Oryzias latipes: one gene and its partners. The protein of the gene in region 1 interacts with the protein of each later gene in a pairwise test. Links are inferred from orthologs where the notes say so. Each region holds a gene or a part of one and is shown in the gene's direction. Other genes may lie near its edges. The genes, in order: nav2, E3 SUMO-protein ligase PIAS2, rbm15 and ing5.

The links.
Region 2: the proteins of nav2 (region 1) and E3 SUMO-protein ligase PIAS2 interact in binary tests that used the Homo sapiens proteins (3 or more experiments, as listed by UniProt). The two-hybrid records come from large-scale screens. The link is inferred for Oryzias latipes from reciprocal best matches to the Homo sapiens genes NAV2 and PIAS2.
Region 3: the proteins of nav2 (region 1) and rbm15 interact in binary tests that used the Homo sapiens proteins (3 or more experiments, as listed by UniProt). The two-hybrid records come from large-scale screens. The link is inferred for Oryzias latipes from reciprocal best matches to the Homo sapiens genes NAV2 and RBM15.
Region 4: the proteins of nav2 (region 1) and ing5 interact in binary tests that used the Homo sapiens proteins (3 or more experiments, as listed by UniProt). The two-hybrid records come from large-scale screens. The link is inferred for Oryzias latipes from reciprocal best matches to the Homo sapiens genes NAV2 and ING5.

The regions. Positions count from the first base shown.
Region 1 is NC_019861.2:6,357,130-6,360,691, forward strand, and holds part of nav2 (neuron navigator 2), read left to right. Parts: intron 1-965; coding exon 966-1,075; intron 1,076-1,155; coding exon 1,156-1,264; intron 1,265-2,881; coding exon 2,882-3,295; intron 3,296-3,562. UniProt on the Homo sapiens protein: Possesses 3' to 5' helicase activity and exonuclease activity. Involved in neuronal development, specifically in the development of different sensory organs.
Region 2 is NC_019867.2:30,488,371-30,492,676, forward strand, and holds the end of E3 SUMO-protein ligase PIAS2, read left to right. Parts: intron 1-801; coding exon 802-941; intron 942-1,029; coding exon 1,030-1,067; intron 1,068-1,421; coding exon 1,422-1,637; 3' UTR 1,638-1,914; coding exon of another isoform or gene 1,915-1,975; 3' UTR 1,976-2,085; coding exon of another isoform or gene 2,086-2,162; 3' UTR 2,163-2,217; coding exon of another isoform or gene 2,218-2,327; 3' UTR 2,328-2,613; coding exon of another isoform or gene 2,614-3,040; 3' UTR 3,041-3,768; downstream 3,769-4,306. Other genes in the region: uncharacterized protein LOC110015563, read left to right, coding at 1,915-1,975, 2,086-2,162, 2,218-2,327, 2,614-3,040. UniProt on the Homo sapiens protein: Functions as an E3-type small ubiquitin-like modifier (SUMO) ligase, stabilizing the interaction between UBE2I and the substrate, and as a SUMO-tethering factor.
Region 3 is NC_019865.2:10,859,763-10,863,956, forward strand, and holds the start of rbm15 (putative RNA-binding protein 15), read left to right. Parts: upstream 1-1,363; 5' UTR 1,364-1,527; coding exon 1,528-4,065; 3' UTR 4,066-4,194. UniProt on the Homo sapiens protein: RNA-binding protein that acts as a key regulator of N6-methyladenosine (m6A) methylation of RNAs, thereby regulating different processes, such as hematopoietic cell homeostasis, alternative splicing of mRNAs and X chromosome inactivation mediated by Xist RNA.
Region 4 is NC_019862.2:3,240,753-3,244,836, forward strand, and holds the end of ing5 (inhibitor of growth protein 5), read left to right. Parts: coding exon 1-53; intron 54-152; coding exon 153-264; intron 265-338; coding exon 339-438; intron 439-541; coding exon 542-677; intron 678-753; coding exon 754-815; intron 816-2,505; coding exon 2,506-2,545; 3' UTR 2,546-3,542; downstream 3,543-4,084. Other genes in the region: cep19 (centrosomal protein of 19 kDa), read right to left, coding at 3,763-4,084. UniProt on the Homo sapiens protein: Component of the HBO1 complex, which specifically mediates acetylation of histone H3 at 'Lys-14' (H3K14ac) and, to a lower extent, acetylation of histone H4. Component of the MOZ/MORF complex which has a histone H3 acetyltransferase activity.

The DNA.
Region 1 (3,562 bases):
CATCAGACGGTTGTTGAAGATTATGCATTAATATAATGGTGTGCGGGAGCAACTGTAGGAATGCAAAGTGTTGGAGGTGATGGATTACAAAGTAAAAAATTACTGTAATTTAATTACTTTTGTCAGTAATGGACGAATGTAACAATTACAGTTCAAATTTTGATAATACCAACTGTCCCACAGACCGGTACCGCAGCCTCCACTGGTGTAAAGCATCTATCTTCATTGAAACAGTTAACCTTTTAGATTTCACAGATGAATGTAAAGCTCTGCGTCTGAGAACACTAAGATTGAAAAAAAAAAAAAAAATTTATGTAAAAACCTGGTGTTTACTTCCTAAATAAAATAGTTCTATTTTTTTTTCTTTGACCAAAGTCCTCATCAGTCCTCCTGATGCCGTTTGTGTTTATTCTCTCTGTCCTCAAACACTTTTGAACTGCAAACTTCACACACTTGTCGCACAACAATACACTTACAAGTATTAATACACTTACAAGTATATATATCGGAACATCTACATTCAGGAATGTACATGTGTGGTGTGTCTTTACATACATAAAACAACAATTTCTGACAACAAACAGATCAAAATCTATTTTTTTAGTGAGTCAGAGGTTTTCAGAGGAGCAGCCTCCAGTAACTCCTTCTGGCTCGCGGTCATAGAGAATTACATTAGGACAAATTCTGGACGAACAGCTGTGTTCAGCCGAGGCACTTAGATGTCTGAAAGGGAAACAGGCAGTGCAATGGAAAAGCTCTGTCGAAATATCCTTCTACAACAAATCTTTCTGATGCCTTAGCAGGCATTTGTTGTGGAACACAGTCATAAGACCTAAACGCTGCAGATTGGAGTCGTAATCAGGTTTATCCCTCCTTTGTGGCAACTTTCTGAAAATTAGGTTCCCACGAAGTTCTTAGTAATTCCGATTCAGGACTTTCATTGCTTGCACAATGTCCTTTTTCAGATCCCAAACAGATGAAGACGGAACAGAGGACGGCGGGAACAGTTCTTGGGGAGGAAGTGGAGACGCCTCCTGCACCAAAACCAACCATACCCCCATGGAAGACCTTTCAGGTAGGAAGTCGCTGCAGCAAGTGCATGGAAGTCAGTTGTCAATTGATGTTTTCTAAAATTGTTTTATGCATGCAACCCAGGTGAAGATCCAGAAACGAGACGGCTGCGTACTGTCAAAAACATCGCAGACCTGCGGCAAAACCTGGAGGAGACCATGTCCAGTCTCCGAGGAACTCAGGTCACGCATAGGTAAAGTCCGAGTCATCTTCTCGCAAGAAACTGATCTCACTGTCAGTCGATAAAAAGAATTCTTAATGAAATTGTTTTTTTTTGTTTCAGTCAAGGAACATTGTATTAACCCCTTAATGCCTAATTTTGTTTCCAATTATATAAAAATATATTCTTCCTTTCCAGGTGATGCTAAATTAAGTGTAGTCCTAGATTAAAAGGTACATTGCAAATTAGCGGCATACGGCGTGAGGGGATTTTTGATTATAATTAGCTGTGGTAAGCTTTGTGTGTTCAAAACTTCAGAACTTCATGAATTCTTCTGCTCTGGAAACAAAACTCTTGTGTTTCATAGAGTGCTGTGCCTCAAATGACTGAATTCAGAACAGCAGAGAATGAGTCAGTAGATATGGTCTTTATTTGCGGGTATAAACTCTCCTGTCTCGTAACCTCTTTGATCACAGGACGGAGCTCTGATGTCTGACGTTGCATAAAACTAAAGATAGCTGTTGTCTTCTATTTTTTAACATTAAGGTTATGTCTGAATTCCCTCCCTGCTCCCAGACTACTAAAAAACTATATAGTGCAGGACCATCTAGTGCCCTAGATTTTAAAAGTAATTCAGAATATATATATATATATATATATATATATATATATATATATATATATATATATATATATATATATATATATTTATTTTTATAGTAAATATGACATCACCAATTTCTAAAAGTAAAAACCTAATGAATACAAACATTTTACAAATAAAATTTATCCACTATTTAAACTCCACTGTGTTTTGGTGAAAAACATGGATGGTTTAAAAAAATATATTCAAATTCATATATTTGCACATGAAAAATCGATCAATCCATTGTGGTCTATAGTCGCCAATCTAGTGAGCATCAATGCACTCTGGTTTTTCCCAGAGACTTGTGGGAAATTTCTAGGGCACTCAATTTTGGAATTGTAGTTTCGGACAGCACTGCAAAATGGCGAACACACTATGTAGTGAGCAATGAAGGACTTTAAACGCAACCTTAGTCTGATAAAACACTTGCCTGTTCACCTAAAAGTCCCACTCTGGTCATCTTTTGGTCATATTTTAAAAGTGTCTCCTAAGTATGATTTTGCTTTTTTAGCCACAAACAAAACGTGTTGTTTTCTAGAACATAGTTCTAGTTGTTCATTAGAAATTGTTGCGGGCAGGACTGTTGGTGCGGAGAAACTACGTCCCCTTCCACTCTGAGTAATCTGTTTCCAGCTCAGACGAGGAAAACAAAGACGGACATGGAACTATTTGTTTGCAAGTGGATGCATCAGAATGAAGTGGAACAGGGAGCTTGAGGCCCATTTAGAGTATTTTCTGTGTAACAAATAGGACATTTTTCAAACAGCATTTGATTTTCATCTGATCCCGATTTACAATTATTTTAATAAAGAAATACTCAGAAATGCAAGTTTGAGCTTAATTTTCTCTATATATGTCCTCCATCATCAGAAAAATGTCACAAGAACATAATAAAAACCCAATTTTCATTAACCTCATTTAACTGTAGGAATTTTTCTCAGTAAGTGAGAACATATTAAGCTTCCTAAATTCTACATCCTAAACCTCCTCTCTTTCTGTGTCAGCAGCTTAGAAACCACCTTTGATGGCAGCATCACCACAGACATCAGCAGCAGTGGAGGCAGCAATAACAACAGCGCAGGTGGTCGAAGTATCCTCAGCCTTTCTTCTGCCCGCTCCTCACTGTCGCCATGGAGGTTGGGCCAGTCCAGCCCTCGTCTGCAGGCAGGCGACGCTCCTTCATTGGGCAATGGCTACGGTGCTCGGATAGCTGGCGGACAGGCAGGACGCTACCTGTACCCTGGGCACCTCCGGAGACAGCTGGCTGGCAGGGGAGGAGCTCTGTGCAGCTTGGACCTCGGCGACAGAGCTGCGGGGGACATTGAGCTGGACGGGGTCGCCATGGAGGTGACGGGATACATGAGCGACGGAGACGTGTTGAGCAAGAATGCTGTGCGCACTGATGATGTCACCAGCGGGTAAGCTTATGTCATACATTGAGACCAATGACTACAAAAAAATGTAAACAACCTAAAGGGCAAAATAACAATCTTAAATGTTTAAGAAAAACAATCTTATGGGAGACTTTAGTTTTAAAAAGTAATGATACTCTGGTTGTAGTTTAATAACATTGATGGAGCTTTGTTTTGGTAAACTTGTCTTTTTTATGTTGATTTTTTTAAACTTGTCCTGTCCAACAGCTGAGCAAACAGATAAGAGCTGAAAGCCTCTAGTGTTTGACATAT
Region 2 (4,306 bases), on another chromosome or scaffold:
AGCGGCGTCCCTCATTAACGTTTACGCTTCAGACTACAGTCACACAGTCATTGTTGTCATCTCCAAAATGAAAGCAGTGTTTTTACCCTCAGATTCTCCCTGACTTCCTCCAGAAACACGAAGGTCTGAAAGCAGCAGCTGCAGTTCATGAAGGGATGAAGAGTCACCTGTCATGAGCTTCTGCTGTGTGTGTGTGGGGGGGGGGGGGGGGGGGGGCATGTTCTAGCAGATACGACCATCAACCTCTTCACTTTCACGAAGCCTCATTTTTGGGGCGGGTTGGTCTTCTTCTCCCCCCATTCTCCAAAGTTGTAGTCCACGGACCGGTACCAGTCTGCGGGACAGTTATGAGGAACAAAACACGACCTTCATTTTTCTGTTTTTAATTATAATCTGATCCTGAGGGACGTTTCATTTTGAAAAACCACAACATTTTGTCTTAGTTGAAAATACATCCGCTACTTTTTTTTTTTTAAAGTGTCTCCACTGAATTCAAACCCTCAATTTAGCAAAGTTGACAAAAACAAAAACATTTAGAAATTTTCTGTTTGCAGAAAAAGTCCAGTGAGGAAACAGAAGCCTTTGACTTCAAAATAAAATAAATCTTTTCAACAGACAAAAACCAGGAATCTTTACTCCAAATATGGATTTATTGTGACCGTTGTTCCCACAGACCATAATAATAATAATGAATGCATAAGGTTCAGCAACCGGCTGTCTAATGATGCTGATAGTCAGGGTGCATGGCCTGGATGAGGCTGAAGGCCGCTGACCTAACGCTCTGTGCTGGTTTCCTGTCAGGGTGTTGGCGTACCAGCCCACCGTGCGCATGCCCACCATGCCAACCCTGGACGCGCCCTCGTACCTCAGCTCCACCCTCGCTGACTATGCGGTGCCTTACCACCCGTCGGCCCTGGCCACCATCCCTGCAGACATGCAGAGTGAGTCTTCTCCTCTGAACCACAAGTAACGTTTCCAGGAAGTCCACAGGTGGGAATCTAACCGGTCTGTCTGTTTTCTCCTCTGCAGGTCTGGATTTGTTTTCTTTAATTCAAGCAGACTCACAGGTAAATGAACTTATGTCAACCAAAATGGCGTTTTCCAAGATTGATTATTATTTATGTCATTTAGAAGCCGTTTGGTTTTGGTCGATTTGATTAACAACTTGCTTCAGACGGATCGTTGATCGTAGGAGAATAAATCGATTCATCGTTATACCCCTAGTCCCTCCCCTTCCACTCAAAACCATGTGGTCATGGAGGGATGCTTCACGTCACCCTGGTTGTCTCTGTTGCCTTCAGGGTAACAGTGATCCACACCTGAGCTTCAGTCTGACTTTTACTGAGTTTACTGAGTCTAAATACCTGAAGGATCATTGGATCAGAAGTGGTTGACGCTGACGCTGCCCTCTGTCTGCTCAGCATTACCGGCCGCAGATGTTCCTGGGAAACCTGACGGAGAGCATTCAGAGCGCCACCGTCTCCGCCAGCAGCTCCTCCTCCAGCAGTCTGTACGGCAGCAGCCTCCACGCTGACGGCTCCATCCACGAGGCTCGGGTCATCGCAGGAGGAGGAGGAGGAGGTGGGGCAGGAGGAGGAGTGAGCAGCAGCATGTCGGATGTCATCTCCCTGGACTGAAAACGGCCCGCTCTCCTCCTGGTCCTGGGCTTGGACTGTCAGGCCGCACAGACTGAAGCCTCTGAGAGTTCACTACACTCCACACCGGATGAAAGGTTCTCCCTCCCTACTCTGGGGCTCTGACACCGGCTCAGGTTCAAGTATTGGACGCTCCTCTCATTCTGAGCAGCACTAAGATGTGCTAACCTGAGGAACTGGAAGCCCGCCTCCTCTGTGGCTGGGACATCAAATGGATGTTTGTTGGGTTATTGCACACAGAATTGATTTTAGGACTGTAATGCGAGCCTGTTCCATGCAGGCCGCAGACGAACCGCAGACAGACTGCAGACTGATCGCAGGCATGCTGTAGACGGACTGCAGACGGATCGCAGGCAGGCTGTAGACGGACTGTAGACTGATCGCAGGCATGCTGTAGACGGACTATAGGCGGACCCCTGGGAGGCTGCAGGCAAGCGGCAGAAGGATCGCAAGCAGGCTGCAGACGGATCGCAGGCAGGCTGTAGACAGACTGCAGAGGGATCGCAGGCAGGCTGTAGACGGACTGCAGACTGATCGCAGGCATGCTGTAGACGGACTATAGGCGGACCGCTGGGAGGCTGCAGGCAAGCGGCAGAAGGATCGCAAGCAGGCTGTAGACGGACTGCAGACGGATCGCAGGCAGGCTGTAGACGGACTGCAGACGGATCGCAGGCAGGCTGTAGACGGACTGCAGGCGGACCCCTGGGAGGCTGCAGGCAAGCGGCAGAAGGATCGCAAGCAGGCTGCAGACGGATCGCAGGCAGGCTGTAGACAGACTGCAGAGGGATCGCAGGCAGGCTGTAGACGGACTGCAGACTGATCGCAGGCATGCTGTAGACGGACTATAGGCGGACCGCTGGGAGGCTGCAGGCAAGCGGCAGAAGGATCGCAAGCAGGCTGTAGACGGACTGCAGACGGATCGCAGGCAGGCTGTAGACGGACTGCAGACGGATCGCAGGCAGGCTGTAGAGGGACTGCAGACGGATCGCAGGCAGGCTGTAGACGGACTGCAGACGGATCGCAGGCAGGCTGTAGACGGACTGCAGACGGATCGCAGGCAGGCTGTAGAGGGACTGCAGACGGATCGCAGGCAGGCTGTAGAGGGACTGCAGACGGATCGCAGGCAGGCTGTAGACGGACTGCAGACTGATAGCGAGGCATGCTGTAGACAGGCTGCAGATGGACCGCTGGGAGGCTGCAGGCAAGTGGCAGAAGGATTGCAAGCAGGCTCAGACGGATCGCAGAAGAATCGCAGGCGGGCTGTAAACCGACCGCAGGAGGATCACAGGCAGGCTGTAGACGGACTTCAGATGCGTGTGATAGCAGACATCCACATCAATCAGACTAGATGTTCTTGTCATTCCAGGGTGAGTCAAGCGTTCTGAGTGCAGCCTGTGGTCCATGAACGGGTCCTGCTGGTCCAGCAGTAGCTGCCTGAACTTTGTTCTCGGCTTAAAGAGCATTACCTTGTGGTTGGAGGAAGCGAGCTGACTCTTAGGTGTCTTTATCCACATTTACCTGAGGTCCTGCTGACTCCCCCCTCCTTTAGGACCACAGCAGCGGCTGCACTACATCCTCAGAGCTGCAGAAGCTCCGTCTCAGGAACCAGAAGTCCATTAAACACCAGCTCTTCACTCTCAGACTTTTCTTTTACAGCTGTTATTTTTCTCACATCATTATTATTTTCAGAAAGGCTCCTGAGCTCCAGCGATGAGATCATGTATGTTCCTGCGAGCAGGTTGGACTCGTGGACATCTCAGGTTTCCCCTTCGGCTGCATGTTCTGATGTCTAATGTTCTGACAGTGGGTTCTCCTCGTGTTTACCTCCCACTCCAGAGATTGATCCTCTGTTTGCCCCAAAGCTATGAGCAGCATTGATGTCTGTGGAAGTATGTGGAGATGTTAACAGGTGTTCACTCTCTGAAAGCATGCCCGTCACTTCCCGTGATCACATGACTGAATTAAGTCAGACTGAAGCCCGGAGCATCTCTGCACGCCAACGGCCAGAACCAGAGGTCCGGTTTAGAGCAGAAGCCAACTGAACTGAACCACAAGCTGCTTTTTCTGTTCTGTCTGAAACCTCAATAAATGGTCTAGTTAAGCTTTTTCCAAACACAGGTTCTTGTTTGATTTCTCTTGTTGGAGCCTCTTCCTCACTCATGAAGCTGGTCTTATCTGAACCTCGGCTCCTCCTCCTCAAGTCCTTCATCTGTAACCCCGCAGTCTTCCTTCCCTGCAGTTCCTCAGGTTCCAGTCTGTGCTTCTGTTTTTGTAGAGGAGGAGGGAGTGTTGGCCGTTTTGGGTTTCATCTCAGCATCTACGTGCCTCACCTGCTCCCTCTGACTCAAGAGATGACCATAATAATAAGAAGGAATTGGATTTATCTGCACTTTTCCAGATGCTCAAAGTTCTTACGATGTGTCCGTCATTCATTCATCCTTGGTGATGGTAGCTACTGATGTAGCCACAGCTGCCCCTGGGGCAGCTGTGGCTACATCAGTAGCTACCATCACCTGGGGCGGACTGACAGAGGCGTGGCTACCAGTTCACGCCTACAGCCCCTTTGACCATCCCTGGGACATTCACACACCAGTGAAGGCAACACTATAGGACAGGAGGGTCAAGTCCCTTGCCCAAGGACACAACGCCAG
Region 3 (4,194 bases), on another chromosome or scaffold:
TTGGGGTAAATTTGACTTCCTATTTTTCCTTCAGACCTTTTGACCACTTCCATCTTGTGGTACATTAAAGAACACCTGTCTTCCGTTAAAAGCAAATTCGAATGATGCCTGATACACTTTACACCTCAAATTCAGAACACACACACATACATACAGTAAAACAAAATGAAAAATGAATAAAAATTTTAAATCATACTTCCAGTTTCACTACTTTCTGGACACTTGCAAAGAGGCTTCCGATTTAGAAAATAAATCATATGGAACATGTCCATGTGTTTTTGTTTGTATCTTTTAATATTCAGTTAATATGTTGATATTTGGGTCATTCCAGAACTGGAGGACATTTGGGCTGCAAAATTCATGAAGAGCAAACTTTGACTTTTCTAATTCTCTGCTATATAATCGTCAATAAAAGGTAATATCTGTCAAAGGCTTGATTAACTTTGCTTACAGATCAACTGCGAAATATTTATGACATTATATTGATGATGACAAGACTTGATGCAACCTTGTTATCAATTTTTGCAAGTAACAGGGTTGCAAACATGTATTAATATTGACTTTCTCTCAGGAGTAGACGCTAGTTGTTTAGCTGTCACTGAGTACCAATAAGAAAATTAATGTGATTTCAATGGCATGCCTTTTTGCATTTCTGACCACCCCAGAATGAATGGTGATATCTTGTTTTTCTCAGTTGCTACTTTACATGCTAATTTGATTGCTTACTTACTCATAAAAAAGCAACAACAATAACAATAATTGTCTTACTCTGATTATAGGGAAACAGGGTTGCATGAGGCGGAGTGAGACATTCAATCTAGGATAACTATGTGTTAAAAATAAAAGATCCACGTAACTTTTGCTCTACCCATTCTTTTTGAATACTGTTTGATGATGTCAAGTCCAGCATATCACTCTTTGCTATATTCTAACCCTCTTACCTGTTATGGTAAAAGGAATTGTGTGGATTCGGTGGGAAACACATTGTATTGATCATAAATAATATTTGAAATACTTCTTTTATTTAAAAAAATCCCACGGTTACATAAAACACCAATCAAAACAAGATATACCAAAAACTGAATCTAAAATTTAATTTTAACTGCTTTTATTGAAGATTTAATTTGGACAATGGGGGACGGGACAAGAAAAAATGCATTTTAGGGGGTACATTGAGCTTATTTGGCATTTTTTAAATTATTTTCAGTAATTATTTTCACTTAGTTTTGCATGTGGATTATTTAAAATAGGTTTATTCTGAAATGACCCATTTTTTAATCCATCGCTGTGTGCGTGATTGACGGGATTTTAAAAGGTTTTAACCAATCGCCGCCCCCCAAACACCGGCCAATCAGCGCATGGAGGCGGGTCTTCTCACAAATCTTAACAAAATGGCGACTGTTGTTGTTTTGCCGCAGGGTCGGTAAATAAATTCTTTGAACGTATTGGATATTTTCTACATTATTTTGTGGAAGGAGTGCAGGAAAAAGCCAGTTACCACAAAGAGTTTACTCTTCGTGGGCTGCAATGAAAGGAAAGGAGCGGTCGCCGATTAAAAAACGGTCCCGGGCCTTGGACGACATTCGAGAGAGGGGAGGATGCCACCCGACCAGCAAGAAAATGGGGGCTCTCTCCGTTTCCAGTGGGAGTAATAATGGAAACAGTTCGTCCAAAAGCGACAGCGGCTCAACGAGACGGAGCTTGTTGGGTGAGAAAAGGGACAGAGATTTTGAGGGCCATAGTCGGACTGGAAATAATCACAGCTGTCAGTCTGCTGCTTCCAGCTCCGTGGGTAAAAACCACAACCTGAGCCTGTCGCTAGACCTAGCCTCCCCGCGAGCCTCTTCGCGCGCGGAGCAGCGTGTTCCGCCGCCCAGCACCGAGAGTGAGTACAAAACACTCAAAATCAGCGACCTTGGGAATCAGCTGAGCGAGGAGGATATAGAAGATGGGCTTTTTCATGAATTCAAAAAGTTTGGCGACGTGAGCGTCAAAATTAGTCGCAGCAACGACGAACGGATTGCTTTCGTTAACTTCAGGAAGCCGGAGGACGCCAGGGCTGCTAAACACGCCAGAGGCCGGCTCGTGCTCTACGACCGGCCGCTGAAGATCGAGGCCGTTTACACGAGCAGGAGGAGAAGCCGCTCCCCCGTGGAGAGGGACTTGTACAGCGCAGCACAAAGTCACAGACACTTGCAGAGACCCCTGTCGCCCACCGGCCTGGGTTACAGAGACTACCGGCTGCAGCAGCTGGCTTTGGGACGGCTCCCTCCTCCCCCTCCGCCCCCTCTGCCCAGAGAACTGGACCGGGACAGAGAGTTCGCCCTGTTTGAAGCCAGGGCACGTCCAGCTTTCCTTGCAGAGCGAGCAGCTTTTCGTGAAGAGGATTTAATATCTCCGGAAGACGACCAAAGAGCAAACAGGACTTTGTTTTTAGGCAACTTGGACATAAACATTGCAGAAGCAGACCTCAGGCGGGCTTTCGACAGGTTTGGAGTCATAACAGAGGTGGACATCAAGAGACCATCACGAGGACAGACCAGCACATATGGATTTCTTAAGTTTGAGAACCTTGACATGGCTCATCGTGCTAAGCTTAGCATGTCTGGAAAAATAGTGGGTCGCAACCCTATAAAAATCGGTTACGGAAAAGCAACACCCACGACCCGTTTGTGGGTCGGTGGACTTGGACCGTGGGTTCCTTTAGCTGCCCTGGCCAGAGAATTTGATCGCTTTGGCACTATAAGGACCATTGACTACAGAAAAGGTGACACTTGGGCCTACATCCAGTATGAAAGTTTAGATGCTGCTCAAGCAGCATGGACACACATGAGAGGCTTTCCGCTGGGAGGCCCAGAGAGAAGACTTCGGGTGGATTTCGCAGACACTGAGCACCGGTACCAGCAGCAGTTCTTGCAGCCTCTCCCTATTCCACCGTTTGACATGGTGGCTGACTCGTTTGTCCACCGCGCCACGCCTGAACCTCTGAGAGTCAGAGATCGGACTCCACCTCCACTTCACTTCAGGGACAGAGAACTCTTTCCAGCAACGGAGTGGCCCAACCCGGCCATTCGTGAGCGGGTCCGGGGATCCCCCTTTGAGCCTCTGGAACATTTGGAACGCGACCGGAGAACTCGAGAGCCTTGGTCTTTGGAGCGTGAGCTGCAAGGGCGAGAACCAGGACGTAAGAGACGCTTATTGGAGGATGGCCGTCACCTAGATCACTCTCCTGACAGCACTGAGAGGACAGTGAGACGTAGACGTTCTTCTCCAGATGGCAGTCCTGGGGGCAGCAGCAGAGACGGAGGACGTTTCAGTGACTCTGAGCATCCTGTGCACAGTGAAACGGCCTCACCAGCCAGAGAACATGTCATTAGCCTTGAAAGAGGTGGGGCGGATCGAAGGGTTAAAAGCCAGAGTCTTTCTGAGAAAGGACTCTCATCTGCTGGTGAGCGGAAACGCAAAGCGGGCGACAGTGGCAAAGTGCCTGCCAAGAGAGAACGCTCTGAAAGCAGCTCTAAAGGAGCCCAGCAATCCAAACCTGATGGCACCAAACTCATTGTGGCATGGCGCGGAATGCTGCTCCTGAAGAACAGCAACTTTCCAGCCAGCATGCATCTCCTAGAAGGTGACTACGGCGTCGCCAGCGACCTGCTCATCGACGGCTCAACCGGAAGGCAGGTGAGCGAGCTAAAGATCACGCAGCGTCTCCGTCTGGACCAGCCAAAGCTTGATGAGGTGTCTCGGCGCATCAAAGTCGCCGGTCCAGGCGGCTACGCCATCCTGTTGGCAGTTCCTGGAAGCACAGAGGACTCCTCTTCATCTGATCCTATGGCCTCAACCCAGCGGCCCCTTCGCAACCTGGTGTCCTACCTCAACCAAAAACAAGCAGCTGGGGTCATCAGTCTGCCTGTGGGAGGGAGCAGAGATAAAGACAACACAGGGGTTCTTCATGCTTTCCCCCCCTGTGATTTCTCTCAGCAATTCCTGGATTCCTCTGCAAAAGCTCTGGCAAAAAGCGAAGAAGACTATCTGGTCATGATTGTGGTTCGTGGAGCATCTTAAAAAAAAAAAAAGAGAAAAAGTCACAATGCACTATGTTCAAGTGGAATATAAGAAAAAACAAGTCTGCTGTTTGTCAGTAATTATTGCATGCTGTGTTCTGCATTGTGGGGTACACTAGTATGGTTCTTG
Region 4 (4,084 bases), on another chromosome or scaffold:
GCAAGGAGTTCAGTGACGACAAAGTTCAGCTCGCCATGCAAACGTATGAAATGGTGAGCCTTCATGACACGCCTGACAACACGCCACCTTTTTCCTCTCAAGCATGCCTTGTGAACAGAGCCGTTTGAAAGACGTCTTCTTCTGTTCTAAAGGTGGACAAACACATCCGCAGGCTGGATGCAGACCTGGCCCGCTTTGAGAACGAGCTGAAGGAGAAGCTGGAGCTGACCGGCTACGACAGCACCGACAGCAGAACCTTGAAAAGTAAATCCTCCCGCTGGAACCTTCTCGGCCAAAGTTTGCATTGGGGGGCTTATTGTTTGTGACGTTTGACTCAGAAGGTGACTCACGGGGGCAGCGGGACAAGCGTGGATCCAGAGGACGGGGAAAGAAAGGTTCTGACGACGACTCTCCCAAAAAGAAGAAGATGAAAATCAGGTAATGTTGGTTTTTGTAAAGCTCGGGGGGCTCTCACGGTTTTTACTTTCCTCTTTTCATCTTTGTGTTTTTCGGCACACCCCTCCCTTCATGAATGTTTCAGCCAAGACTTGAGCGACGCTCTCCTGCCAATGCAGCCGTCAGACGTTCTGGACATGCCAGTCGATCCCAATGAACCCACCTACTGCCTGTGCCACCAAGTCTCATATGGAGAGATGATTGGATGTGACAACCCAGATGTAGGGTTTTTTATTTGTATATTTTCTTTTATCCTTAAATTTACCCACACTTGATCTCAACCTGTCTTTTTGTTAGTGTCCCATCGAGTGGTTCCACTTTGCCTGCGTTGACCTCGCCACTAAACCAAAAGGAAAATGGTGAGTTGATCCGTCTAACCACTTCAGAATCAAGTTAACCCACTTCCCTGTGGTCGGTTCATGATCTTCTGAGTTCTCAGATAGTTGAGACAGTCGCTGTGGTTCCACGTGCAAAACGTCTTTGATCGGATCAAAGATTGGATTAGAACTGAACTGTGTACATGGCTCAGAATAACTATATCTGATTATGACAAACGTTTACATACGCCACACTTTTTGTCAGAATAAATGGACATGTGCAGGACTGTAGAAAATACCGGAAACTACTGTACAAGAATAAATATTGAGTTCTGTTGTAAACAAACAAAGCTGCAGCGTAGAGCGAGAGGATCTTCTAAACGTGGGAATAAAATCAGCCTTTATTATTTCTGAACATGCCGGTAAACATGAATTCACATGATTGGTGACACGGTTTCTCAGGACTGGACTGCATTTCGGAGACACGGTTCTCCTGAGTCCGGACTGCGGTCCAAAGCCTCCTCCAGAGCGCACACCGTAACAATGCGCCCTCCCCTGTCCGCAAACATGAAGCTACAAGTCCGGCTGCTCTGCTCAGACCAGGGCTCAGCAACCTGAACCTCTCAAAGAGCCATTTGGATCAGTTTCCCACAGAAATGAAAGCACAGGGAGCCGCAACACTAGGGGTGTTAGAAAAGATCGTTTCGCAGATATATCGCGATAGTTCTTTGAGAGACTCCTCTAGAGCGCCATACCGTCTACGCATGACCAAAGACAGCGATCACGGTCACAATAAACTGTTTGTATGCAGCACGATCAGATCAACAATCGGCATAACCCACCTATTTCAGTCGGAAAGAAATTTTGATCCGAATGAGTCTGATCAGTACTGAGTATTCCGAACAGCGTGTTTACATGATGGCTGTAACCGCAGCTAGAGATCTGCCCTTTTAGCAGATGGCATATGATTATGTTGGATTGAAAAACACTTGAGTGGGGTCTTTAGTGTGAAGTAGTAACACTTTATGCCCCCACCATCATAAAGGAACCAGGTTTAAATGGTAAGGGACTCTCTTTCTCCAACACAATAAAGGCGCCCCCCCCCCCTTTTTTTTTTACATGCTACCAGCCAGCTGTTTCAAGCGTGGGAGTTCTCCCAGGGAATCTGGCTTTTTCCAACAGAACGCTTGCATGACAAAGCCATCTGCCGCTCAGCTCCTGCATTTAAACGGAACAAAACCTCTGGATGATTGAAGGAGTGACAGGTTTCTGAAGCGTTTGGTGCGAACGGCAAAAGAACAGAACAACCCCAATCATACTCATGTTTCCCTATGGAACCAGCATTTTCAGTGTGAACTAGCTATAGTTAAAGCTCAATAACATCTAGTTCCACAATCACAGCAACAGACAAGACGTTAGGAATGTTTCATAAGCCTCAGCCAGGTGGATGAAGCGTTAGGACAGAGCGTTCCAGAGTTTGGGAATGCTTGATCCTCTCTGGTTCAAAGAGAAATCCCCAAAAACCTGACCTGCTGGTCTCAGTCTTTCTAAGACGGTTTGTGAATGTTTTTTTTTTTTAACAGCTACAGTTTTGATTTTGTTTTGGGGTCTGAACACTGTTGGTATGTCAGGGGGAAGCTGCATTGCTCCTTACGGACAAATAACTGATTGATCATTTGAATGTTCATCTCATCGACTGGTGTCTAAACTCTGTCTTCCTTTGACATGGCAGGTTTTGTCCGAGGTGCACCCAAGACCGGAAGAAAAAGTAAAAGTTACTGTCAGGAATGCTCAAATGTTTTGCTTTTATGAAATAACATAGCATAGTCACGTGTGCTTACAAATTACCAAGAGAACGGTAGGATTGTTGGGCTTGATTCAGATCAATCTCCTTCCCCATACTGGCTTCATGGTATATCCACAGTGGTTTTAAAGTAAACGCCTTCTGTGCTCAGGGCGAGGTTAGAATACAATCTGGTGAGTAATAAGCTGTGTATGTATACCTTTCCACTCGACTTAAAAAAGTTTAAATCCCACATTCTGGTTGAAGCATACTTGAAGTGTCGGCTCCTGAAAAAACGCTTTTTCTAACCAGAAAGACGATGCCTGCTGAAAAATGTCAAATCTAAACAATGTTAATCTAAACTGCAATAGTGGGGAAAAAAAGGAATGATGTTTTTTTTTTTTGTTACTACCTCCTTTGGATTAACATTTACACTGCAGTTAAATGTGGTGCTTAAAACAAGTACTACTTCTGTTCTTTTTCAATTCGCTCACACCAAGACAAGCACAAAGTTAGAACTCAGACTGTGTCCAAGTCAAAACGCCTACGACATTTTTGAATGTATTGTGGTACTGTGGGTGTCTCCGGTCACCTGAATATGAGGTATTCAAGCACTTTGAAGAAAGTACCCTGAAGAAGTATGATCCTGCAGGCTGGGTGTGATCTGTAGTTCATGAACCTTTGCTGTAACACGTAACCATTGAAAAGTCTGTCGGGCCAATAGAGATGGAAGGGAAACACTGTCCAACCTTCCATGGAACTATATATTTTATACAAGTCAATATTTTGTAGAAATGTTTCCAAAGAGATTTGTTTTATTGTTGAAATACTACTATACATTCAGATTTTATTTAATAGAAGTTTAGATTCTTCCTAATGTTTGACTGAAAATCATGTTTTGTAAGCCACAAATGTTTGAACCAAAGTTTATGTATTTTCTTCAACTCTGTATTTTATAACAAATAAATTTTCACTGGTAATCACAATTTCGGTCCTTTTAGTCTTTATTTGTGTTGCATTTCAAGACGCTGCTGTTGATTCACTTCCCTTCATTCGGTCAGTGGTAACTTTGACAAGAAGGGAGCTTGAGATAATTTCTTCTGACGTGTTCTGGTTTACAGTCATTGGATTAAATGGAAGATGTAGAGGCCTATGGAGATTTTATTTTAGTGTGATTTTGGAGTTGGTGTTCCTTGGCGGGGAGCTTTAAAATCCGTCATCTGACTCATCCCAGCTACAGTTCTCCTGAGGGGCCTTTTCAAAATCCACCTCCAGGTCATAAACAAAGCCTGGATCATCCTTGTGCTTCCTATTTCTCTCAAACTCTCTGTCCATTTGAGCTTTTTTGCGAGCTAGTTCCTTGTCATCTAGTTTGTTGAGGTCCTCGTCCGGGTCCAGGTGGAAGGTGGAGAGGCTGTGCTTCAGGCTCAAACCACGTAGGTGATCCTGGAGGAGGATGTGAAGCTTCTCTAGTTGGCCCTGGGAGACCGCCTCCAGGTAGTCCCTGTGCCGAGGGTGCTCCTTCAGC